2 linked regions of the Mus musculus genome follow. The protein of the gene in region 1 purifies or fractionates together with the protein of each later gene. This does not show direct contact. Links are inferred from orthologs where the notes say so. Each region holds a gene or a part of one and is shown on either strand. Other genes may lie near its edges. The genes, in order: Stk25 and Slmap.

The links.
Region 2: the proteins of Stk25 (region 1) and Slmap purify together in Homo sapiens (affinity purification with mass spectrometry; 5 studies listed by BioGRID and IntAct, with this or other methods). This does not show direct contact. The link is inferred for Mus musculus from reciprocal best matches to the Homo sapiens genes STK25 and SLMAP.

Annotation. Positions count from the first base shown.
Region 1 is NC_000067.6:93,625,614-93,629,432, reverse strand, and holds part of Stk25 (serine/threonine-protein kinase 25), read left to right. Parts: intron 1-168; coding exon 169-399; intron 400-1,722; coding exon 1,723-1,779; intron 1,780-2,299; coding exon 2,300-2,408; intron 2,409-3,224; coding exon 3,225-3,382; intron 3,383-3,466; coding exon 3,467-3,652; intron 3,653-3,787; exon of another isoform or gene 3,788-3,819. UniProt on the Homo sapiens protein: Oxidant stress-activated serine/threonine kinase that may play a role in the response to environmental stress.
Region 2 is NC_000080.6:26,461,428-26,465,246, reverse strand, and holds part of Slmap (sarcolemmal membrane-associated protein), read left to right. Parts: coding exon 1-46; intron 47-1,530; coding exon 1,531-1,671; intron 1,672-2,848; coding exon 2,849-2,986; intron 2,987-3,819. UniProt on the Homo sapiens protein: Associates with the striatin-interacting phosphatase and kinase (STRIPAK) core complex, forming the extended (SIKE1:SLMAP)STRIPAK complex.

The sequences.
Region 1 (3,819 bases):
TAGGTTTTCTGAACAAGGGATAAAGGCAGGAAAGAATTGAGGTGATTTCCCTTCAGTTCCTTACAGTGGGTCATGCCCTCAGTCAGCAGGGCAGTATCTGTCTAGTATTTTCTCTAATGGCTGTTGTCCATGCAGTGTCCCAACATTCTTCTCTATTGGCTTCTATAGCATTCTCGTGTGGACCCAGAGGAACTCTTCACCAAGCTTGACCGCATTGGCAAAGGCTCATTTGGGGAGGTGTACAAGGGGATCGACAACCACACCAAGGAAGTGGTGGCCATCAAGATCATTGACTTGGAAGAGGCCGAGGATGAAATTGAGGACATCCAACAGGAGATCACTGTGCTCAGCCAATGTGACAGTCCTTATATCACCCGCTACTTCGGCTCCTACCTGAAGGTGCCTACAAGAAGGAGGGATCTGTAGTGGTTGGGGATGGAGCATTCTGAAGGTTCTGTGCCAGGCTTTCTCTTTTGTTTCCAGAGGGATTAATATGTGTCCAAGGATAGGAGAGAGAAGAGAAGGTGACAGCTGTGGGCACATGGGAATCCCTCTGGAAGGGCAGAGAGGCCCACCCTTCCAAATATCTCAGCTTCACAAAAACAGCCTATTCTCTTGAGAAGTGCCAGTCCTCAGTAGGCTCTAAAATGTCTGTCAGTACTGTTAGGCACAGTCTAAGGGGCCCCTGAAGGCAGTCAGTACTTTTAGGGACTGCCTGGAGGGCACTTGAGCAGAGTGTAGAGAGTACAGAGAAGACTCATCTACTGCTTTGAGCAATTGGCCTGTCCACCAGGTGCCTGTAGCAGAGGTATGGTAGCTGGGTGGTCAGAGAGGCCTTTTCTCCATTCCTCCCCCTGGACAGAGTCTGTGTAGACCAGGGTGGCCTTGAACTCACAAGAGATATGCCTGCCTCTATCTCCCAAGTATAGGAATAAGGTGTATGCCACCGCTTCTTGCATTCCTTTTTTGTTTTGTTTTTGGTGGTTTGTTACTGTTTTTTGAGACAGGGTCTCACTGTGTAATTCTGTTTTTGTTTGTTTGTTTGTTTTTGTTTTTCTAGACAGGGTTTCTCTGTGTAGCCCTTGCTGTCCTGGAACTCAATCTGTAGACCAGGCTGGCCTCAGAAATCCACCTGCCTCTGCCTCTGCCTCCCAAGTGCTGGGATTAAAGGTGTGTGCCACCACTGCCCAGCTCACTGTGTAATTCTGTTTGTCCATTTACTATATGGACCAGGCTGGCCTTAAACTCACAGATACCCACCTGCCTCTTCCACCATGCCTGGCTTGGTCCTCCTTTTAATTTGTTAATACTAATTTTTTTGTTATTATTTTTACCTGTCTGTGCTGGGTGGGGGTATGTCTACAATTAGTCTGTGCGTGTGTCTGCGGAGGCCAGAAAGGGTATTGGGTTCTTCTGGTATGGGGGCTACAGGCCTTTGTGAGCTACCTGATATGGGTGTTGGGAGTTGAACACAAGTCTCATGTCCCCCAATTTGGCCTTGAACTTCTGATCCTTCCAAGTGTTGGGATATAAGCATTCACTACCTTGCCCGGCTAGAACCCTATCTTACTTGGCAGGAACTTGCCTGGTATAGTTGCTGTATGGGCTAAGCCCCTAGCTGACTACTTTTGGAGGAGTTAGAGGGGGTGGCTTGTGGAGTCCCCGCTTGGATATTCCTGCTGCATTTCCTGCCCAGGCACTGACAGGTTTCTCTGCTCCCAGAGCACCAAGCTGTGGATTATCATGGAGTACCTGGGTGGTGGCTCTGCACTGGACTTGGTAAGTTCAGACTCGAGCAGTGAGCGGCTTGCTCTTGAGGCTTGTCTTTCAGTGGCCCAGGAACCACTGCCCTGCACACTTTTAGGCTTGTGGCCTTTCTCAGGCTACCTATCACAGTTCTGTATGTTAACAGGAATTGTTAGTTTCAAAACAAATCACTGTTCATCTTGCTCTAGTTGATGCTAAAAGAAGTCTTGGGCCTCTACTGGGCTAGGGGAATAGGCACAGTTAGAGCCCCCAGACAAATAAGAGTGTCAGGTCCTTGGTTAACCTATTCCCATCTTTATAGTCACAGAAAAGATTAAAGCAACTCTTAAGTTTTCTGAAAACAGCTGTCACCCCCATTTCTCCTTACTTCCCCCATTATCCTTGACATCTGAAACTATAGGAACTAAGGAACATAAAGGCCCCCAGGCTTCTTTTGCAGGACTCAGAAGTTGGTGGGTGGTGCTGTTCAGGTGCTGTGGAGGTATGGGTGTGGTAGCTGCAATTGAAGTTCTTCCTGTCTGTGCTCCTGCAGCTGAAACCTGGTCCCCTGGAAGAGACCTATATTGCCACCATCTTGCGGGAGATCCTGAAAGGCCTGGATTATCTGCACTCAGAGCGCAAGATCCACCGAGATATCAAAGGTCCTGCGGGGTGGGCTTGGATGCAGTTCTGCCCATGACCTAGAAAGAGATGGGCATGTGGAGCCTAGTAGATTGTGGTGCCTGAGGGCATGGGATGTGGGGAACGCTTCTGCCACCTGGAAACTGGGGAATTGGGGGGGGGGGGTTGTCCATTTTACTTTTTATCCCCATTTTTAATGGCCACACTGAGGGTAGAGCCTAGGGGATTATGCATTCTAAGCAAACATTCTGCAACTGAGCTACTTTGCCAGCCTAGAAAAAACCTTAATCTCACATCTCCTAATCTTTGATTTCATATATGTGAAGGAAACCAGTTGTGTACTAGTACAAAGCAGGAGCAGTGTGTGGATTCAGATGTGGATTTGTGCAACACTTCTGTGTGGTCCAGTCCTGATGAGGACTCACAAAGTTGGGCCAGCCCACCATGAATGACTTAGTGAGGATAGCTGAGCCTTATGTCACAGGGTGGAATCCTATAGGCAGAGTGATAGATGCCCTGACGAGCCATTCCAGCTGTACAATTCAGTTAGGGTCACTATGATTATATGTGAGGTGTCACTATTGTTGGTGCTTGTCAGAAAACACAAACATGCCAGGCCCTGGAACAAAGGTAGGAATGTTCCTGTAGGTCCCCCAGATTGCCTGCCCTTGCCAGCAGTGGCCAATGTCCAGGAAAACTAAGTTCCCAAGACATATCTGCTGCTGTCCCTAGGGGCCAGAGGATACCATCCCATCACTAGTCAGGGAGTTGCATGCAGGGTTATTTTGGGGGGCTGTGGAGCCAAGGATGATGCCCACCTATCCTGTATTGAGCAGCTGCCAACGTGCTGCTCTCGGAGCAGGGTGATGTGAAGCTGGCAGACTTCGGTGTGGCTGGGCAGCTCACAGACACACAAATCAAGAGGAACACATTTGTGGGTACACCCTTCTGGATGGCACCTGAGGTTATCAAGCAGTCGGCCTATGACTTCAAGGTGAGTTCTGGATGGGAGGTGAGAGTATACTGCCACCACTCAAAATGTTTCACGTAGCAACTGTCCTGTGTGATAACTCTCTAGGCTGACATCTGGTCCCTGGGCATCACAGCCATTGAGCTGGCCAAGGGGGAGCCGCCAAACTCTGATCTCCACCCTATGCGAGTCCTGTTCCTGATTCCCAAGAACAACCCACCCACATTGGAGGGCCACCACAGCAAACCCTTCAAGGAGTTTGTAGAGGCCTGCCTCAATAAGGACCCACGATTCGTAAGGCCTATATCCACTTGGGCCACCCCAGGCAGCTGAGGGGTTTGGGGAAGTTTATGAAGGGAGGATGTAAACTTGGTGGGACAGGGCCCAGCCTTCACATCCTTACCTGTCCTTCCTTGTGTCTTTTGTGAGGGTGGAATTCAGCTCTGACTTTGTCTGTCTCC
Region 2 (3,819 bases), on another chromosome or scaffold:
ATCACGGTTAGAAGTTATGGGAAACCAGTTGCAGGCATGCTCCAAAGTAGGTATTTAATCTCGGGTACACAGAGAAGAATTCATGGTGTTTTCTGTAGTTTCAGGTCTCTGTTATTTGAGTTTATGTTAAAACATTTATATAGTCCACAATTCTTTCACATCTTTGTCGCAAAAAAATTCAAGTATACATATAAGTGGGAAGAATTGTGTGATGCATACCTGTGCTCAATTCTGATTTCTTTTTCTATTACAATTGATTGATATTCATTGACGAAGTGATTTGCCTTCTGGAATGTGACTTGATTTAAACTTGGTTTATATAAATGTTTATTGAAACATTTTTCTGAGCCGGTGTGGTGGCGCACGCCTTTTATCCGAGCACTCAGGAAGCAGAGGCAGGTGGATTTCTGAGTTTGAGGCCAGCCTGGTCTACAAAGTGAGTTCCAAGACAGCCAGGACTATACAGAGAAACCCTATCTTCAAAAACCAAAAAAAAAAAAAAAAAAAAAAAAGAAAAAAAGAAAAAGAAAGAAAGAAAGCAAGCAAGCAAGCATTTTTCTGGTTCTTTGGCATGAAGTAGTAGATAATTGGTCTGGTCAGAGGTTATGATACTTGTTTCACCTGTCCACTCACCATGGATGGTTTTGTTCTTCAATCAAAGACATAATCGCAGATGGCTCTCCTTTTAAGATGTTACCATTCATTGATGACTCTTCACGAGGTTCATTATTTCATTAAGGATATTTAACATAGTAATGCAATTCTGCCATTTCTTCATTTACTTCTTCAGAGAGAATTCTTCCTTCATGAACCATCTTATTACTCTGAAGTATATTTTCTACAGAAAAAAAAACAAAACAAAACAAGTCTCCCCCAATTATTTACTAGATTAAAACAGAATAAACTGTTTTTTGGGTTTTTTTTTTTTGTTGTTTTAATCCAGCAGCAAATGACAATGTAGTGCTTTCTCTCTTGCTTAGATTGAAGTACATTTTGGTGTGTTTAAGTCTATACTAGTAGTTATCTTTGTGGATGATCAAATCAGTCTGAGTTTTCTGTGAGTAAATGCTTTGAGGTTGGCTCTCTGGCTCTCTCTCACCTGCTTTAATGGCTCCAGCCGACTGCGAGCCTGGAGGCCCTGTGCTCACCTGCACAGTTTTTGTTCCAACCCTGGACTTTCCTTTTTCCTCACGAAGCTCTTACTGCTTCCGTTTGGGGCAAATGAAATTATGAGCAATGATTTTTGCTTATAACTGAAACTATGATAGCTTCTACAGAATACGAGTAATTAATCTTAATATTTGAGATAAACTATTTGCCTTTAGCTCATTTCTATTGAAATTAGTGTAATTTCTGAAGTATAAGTTACTACTGCAACTTTGAAATACACATTTAGTTAATAGTAGGCCAACATTTGTATTTGTGGGTACCGTGACATTATAATTTTGAGTATTTTAATGAGTTTCTTTCAAAGGATAAACAGTTTTCACAGAAAAGTGACTTGGGTGTGATGTGAGTGTCTTATCCTAGAATCAAACAGAAGACAGTTTACGGAAGGAGCTGATTGCACTGCAGGAGGATAAACACAGCTATGAAACCACAGCCAAAGAGTCCCTGAGGCGGGTTCTTCAGGAGAAAATCGAAGTGGTTAGAAAACTTTCAGAAGTTGAGGTATTTCACTTTTACTGCCATTGTTTTTAAAGATTTGTTTTACTTTTAAAATTATGTCTATGTGAAGTAAGTGTGGGTATTGTGTGCTAGTGAACGTGTCTGCAGAAGGCTGAGGCCTCGAATCCACTGGACCTGGAATTATAGGCAGTTTTCACCCATCTGATGTGGATGCTGGGAACTGAGCTATCATTGCCTGGTCTGGAGTTAGAGCAGGTTGGCCCCTGGACTACTTTTGTCTTCCAAGTGGTGGAATTAAAGACTTGCTGGCACCATGTCTGGTGGGAATTGATCTTTTGTCACATAATTGACGATGGTCACATAAGGCTGAGACGTTACTACTTCAGCCATCCTCTAGAGCAGTGGCTCTCAGCCTTCCTAGTGCTCAGGCCTTTAATACAGTTCCTCATGTGTGCTGACCTGACTCCCAACCATAAGGTTATTTTTGTTGCTACTCCGTAACTGTAGTTTTGCTACTGTTAATTCTAATGTGAGCACCCATATTTTTGGATGGTCTTAGGCACCCTATGAGATTGTTCTGCCCACAGAAGTTAATACCTACTGCTTTAGGGTGGCACTTTATCTTAGGCTTTACAAGTTAATATTGTCCAGGTTCTATGAAAAATCAAAGTGTGATTCTTGTGACTGAGGATCTAGCTCAGTGGGCATGTGCTTAGCATGTGTGAGGACATGGATAATGGATAGTTTGTATTATGGTCTCATTCTATAACACGTGCTTTATGTTCATTGATGTTTGATTAATCTGACATACACACAAAGTTTCAGGTGTCTTTCTGTTTTCACATTAGATGAATTGTTATATGGTTTTATTCTTACTTTAAGGATTGTTGACTTAGAGGTTGAGTGCGATAGAGTGTACTTATAATCACCGCACTTGGGAGTCTAAGGCAGGAGATTCACAGGAGATTAGGCTAGCCTGTACTTCATAGTGAACTTGAAGCCAGCTTGAGTAACATAATATTGTTAAGAGTTACGTTTTAGTATATATGTTGCTGAAATTATTTTGTCTTTTAAATCAGCTTTTTATAAATTTAATCCAAATGTTGATGTAGACTAGTTCAGAACTACACTTTTTACAAATTGAAAATAAAATTGAACGATAAATTTAAAATAAGTACCCATTTACTCTAACTGAATTCCCTGTGAACTTGCCTTGCAGCGAAGTCTGAGTAATACTGAAGATGAATGTACCCACCTGAAAGAGATGAATGAGCGCACTCAGGAAGAGTTGAGAGAATTAGCCAATAAATATAATGGAGCAGTTAATGAAATTAAAGATTTATCTGATAAATTAAAGGTATGTATACTAGTTCCTTTTGTGTTGCTGTGGTAGGATACCATGAACAGAATACTTTATAGAAGGAAGAGGTTACTTGGGCTTGGGGTTCCAGAGGAGCCTTTCACCATCATGGCGAGGAAGTGTGGCAGCAGTCATCTATGGCAGCTGGAGCTGGAAGCTTAGAGATCACTGGGAATGGCTTGAGCCTCTGAAACATCCAAGTCTATACCCTGTGACATATTCCTCCCACAAAGGCACACTTCTTAGACCTACCCAAACAGCATTACCAACTGAGTACCAAGTGTTCAGACATGTGACCTGTGAGGGACATTCTTAATCCAGCCATCACAGCTTCTATGTCAACCACTAGACGCATGTTAGCGTCACTAACGTGCTAATCGCTTAAGACGTTTATTAGTCACTCAAGAGCTGGTGATGTAAAATTGGGTAAAATTAAAAAGTTGAAACTGATAGTGAAAATAGAAAATGTATTCTATTTAGTCTATCCTCTATTATTGTTGAAATTGAAAGCCTTTAAAGTAGACATACTTCTAGATGGAAATGTAGTCAGCACTTCATAACAGCAGATGTAGTGTTTGCTTCAGCATCCCATAGACTAAGAAAAGAACAGCATTTTCTAATATACACTTGGAAGGAGAAACAAATCAATATGCTATGAAATGATGAGATAGCTCAGTGTGGGTACTAAAACCGGTTATAGAATCCATGGTGGAGGACGGAAAGTCCTCAGAGTTGTCCTCTGACCTCCACTTGAGGGCCATGGTACCCATGCACTAGAACTTAGGCATGTGTAACACTCGTGTACATACACACATACGTAGACACACAGA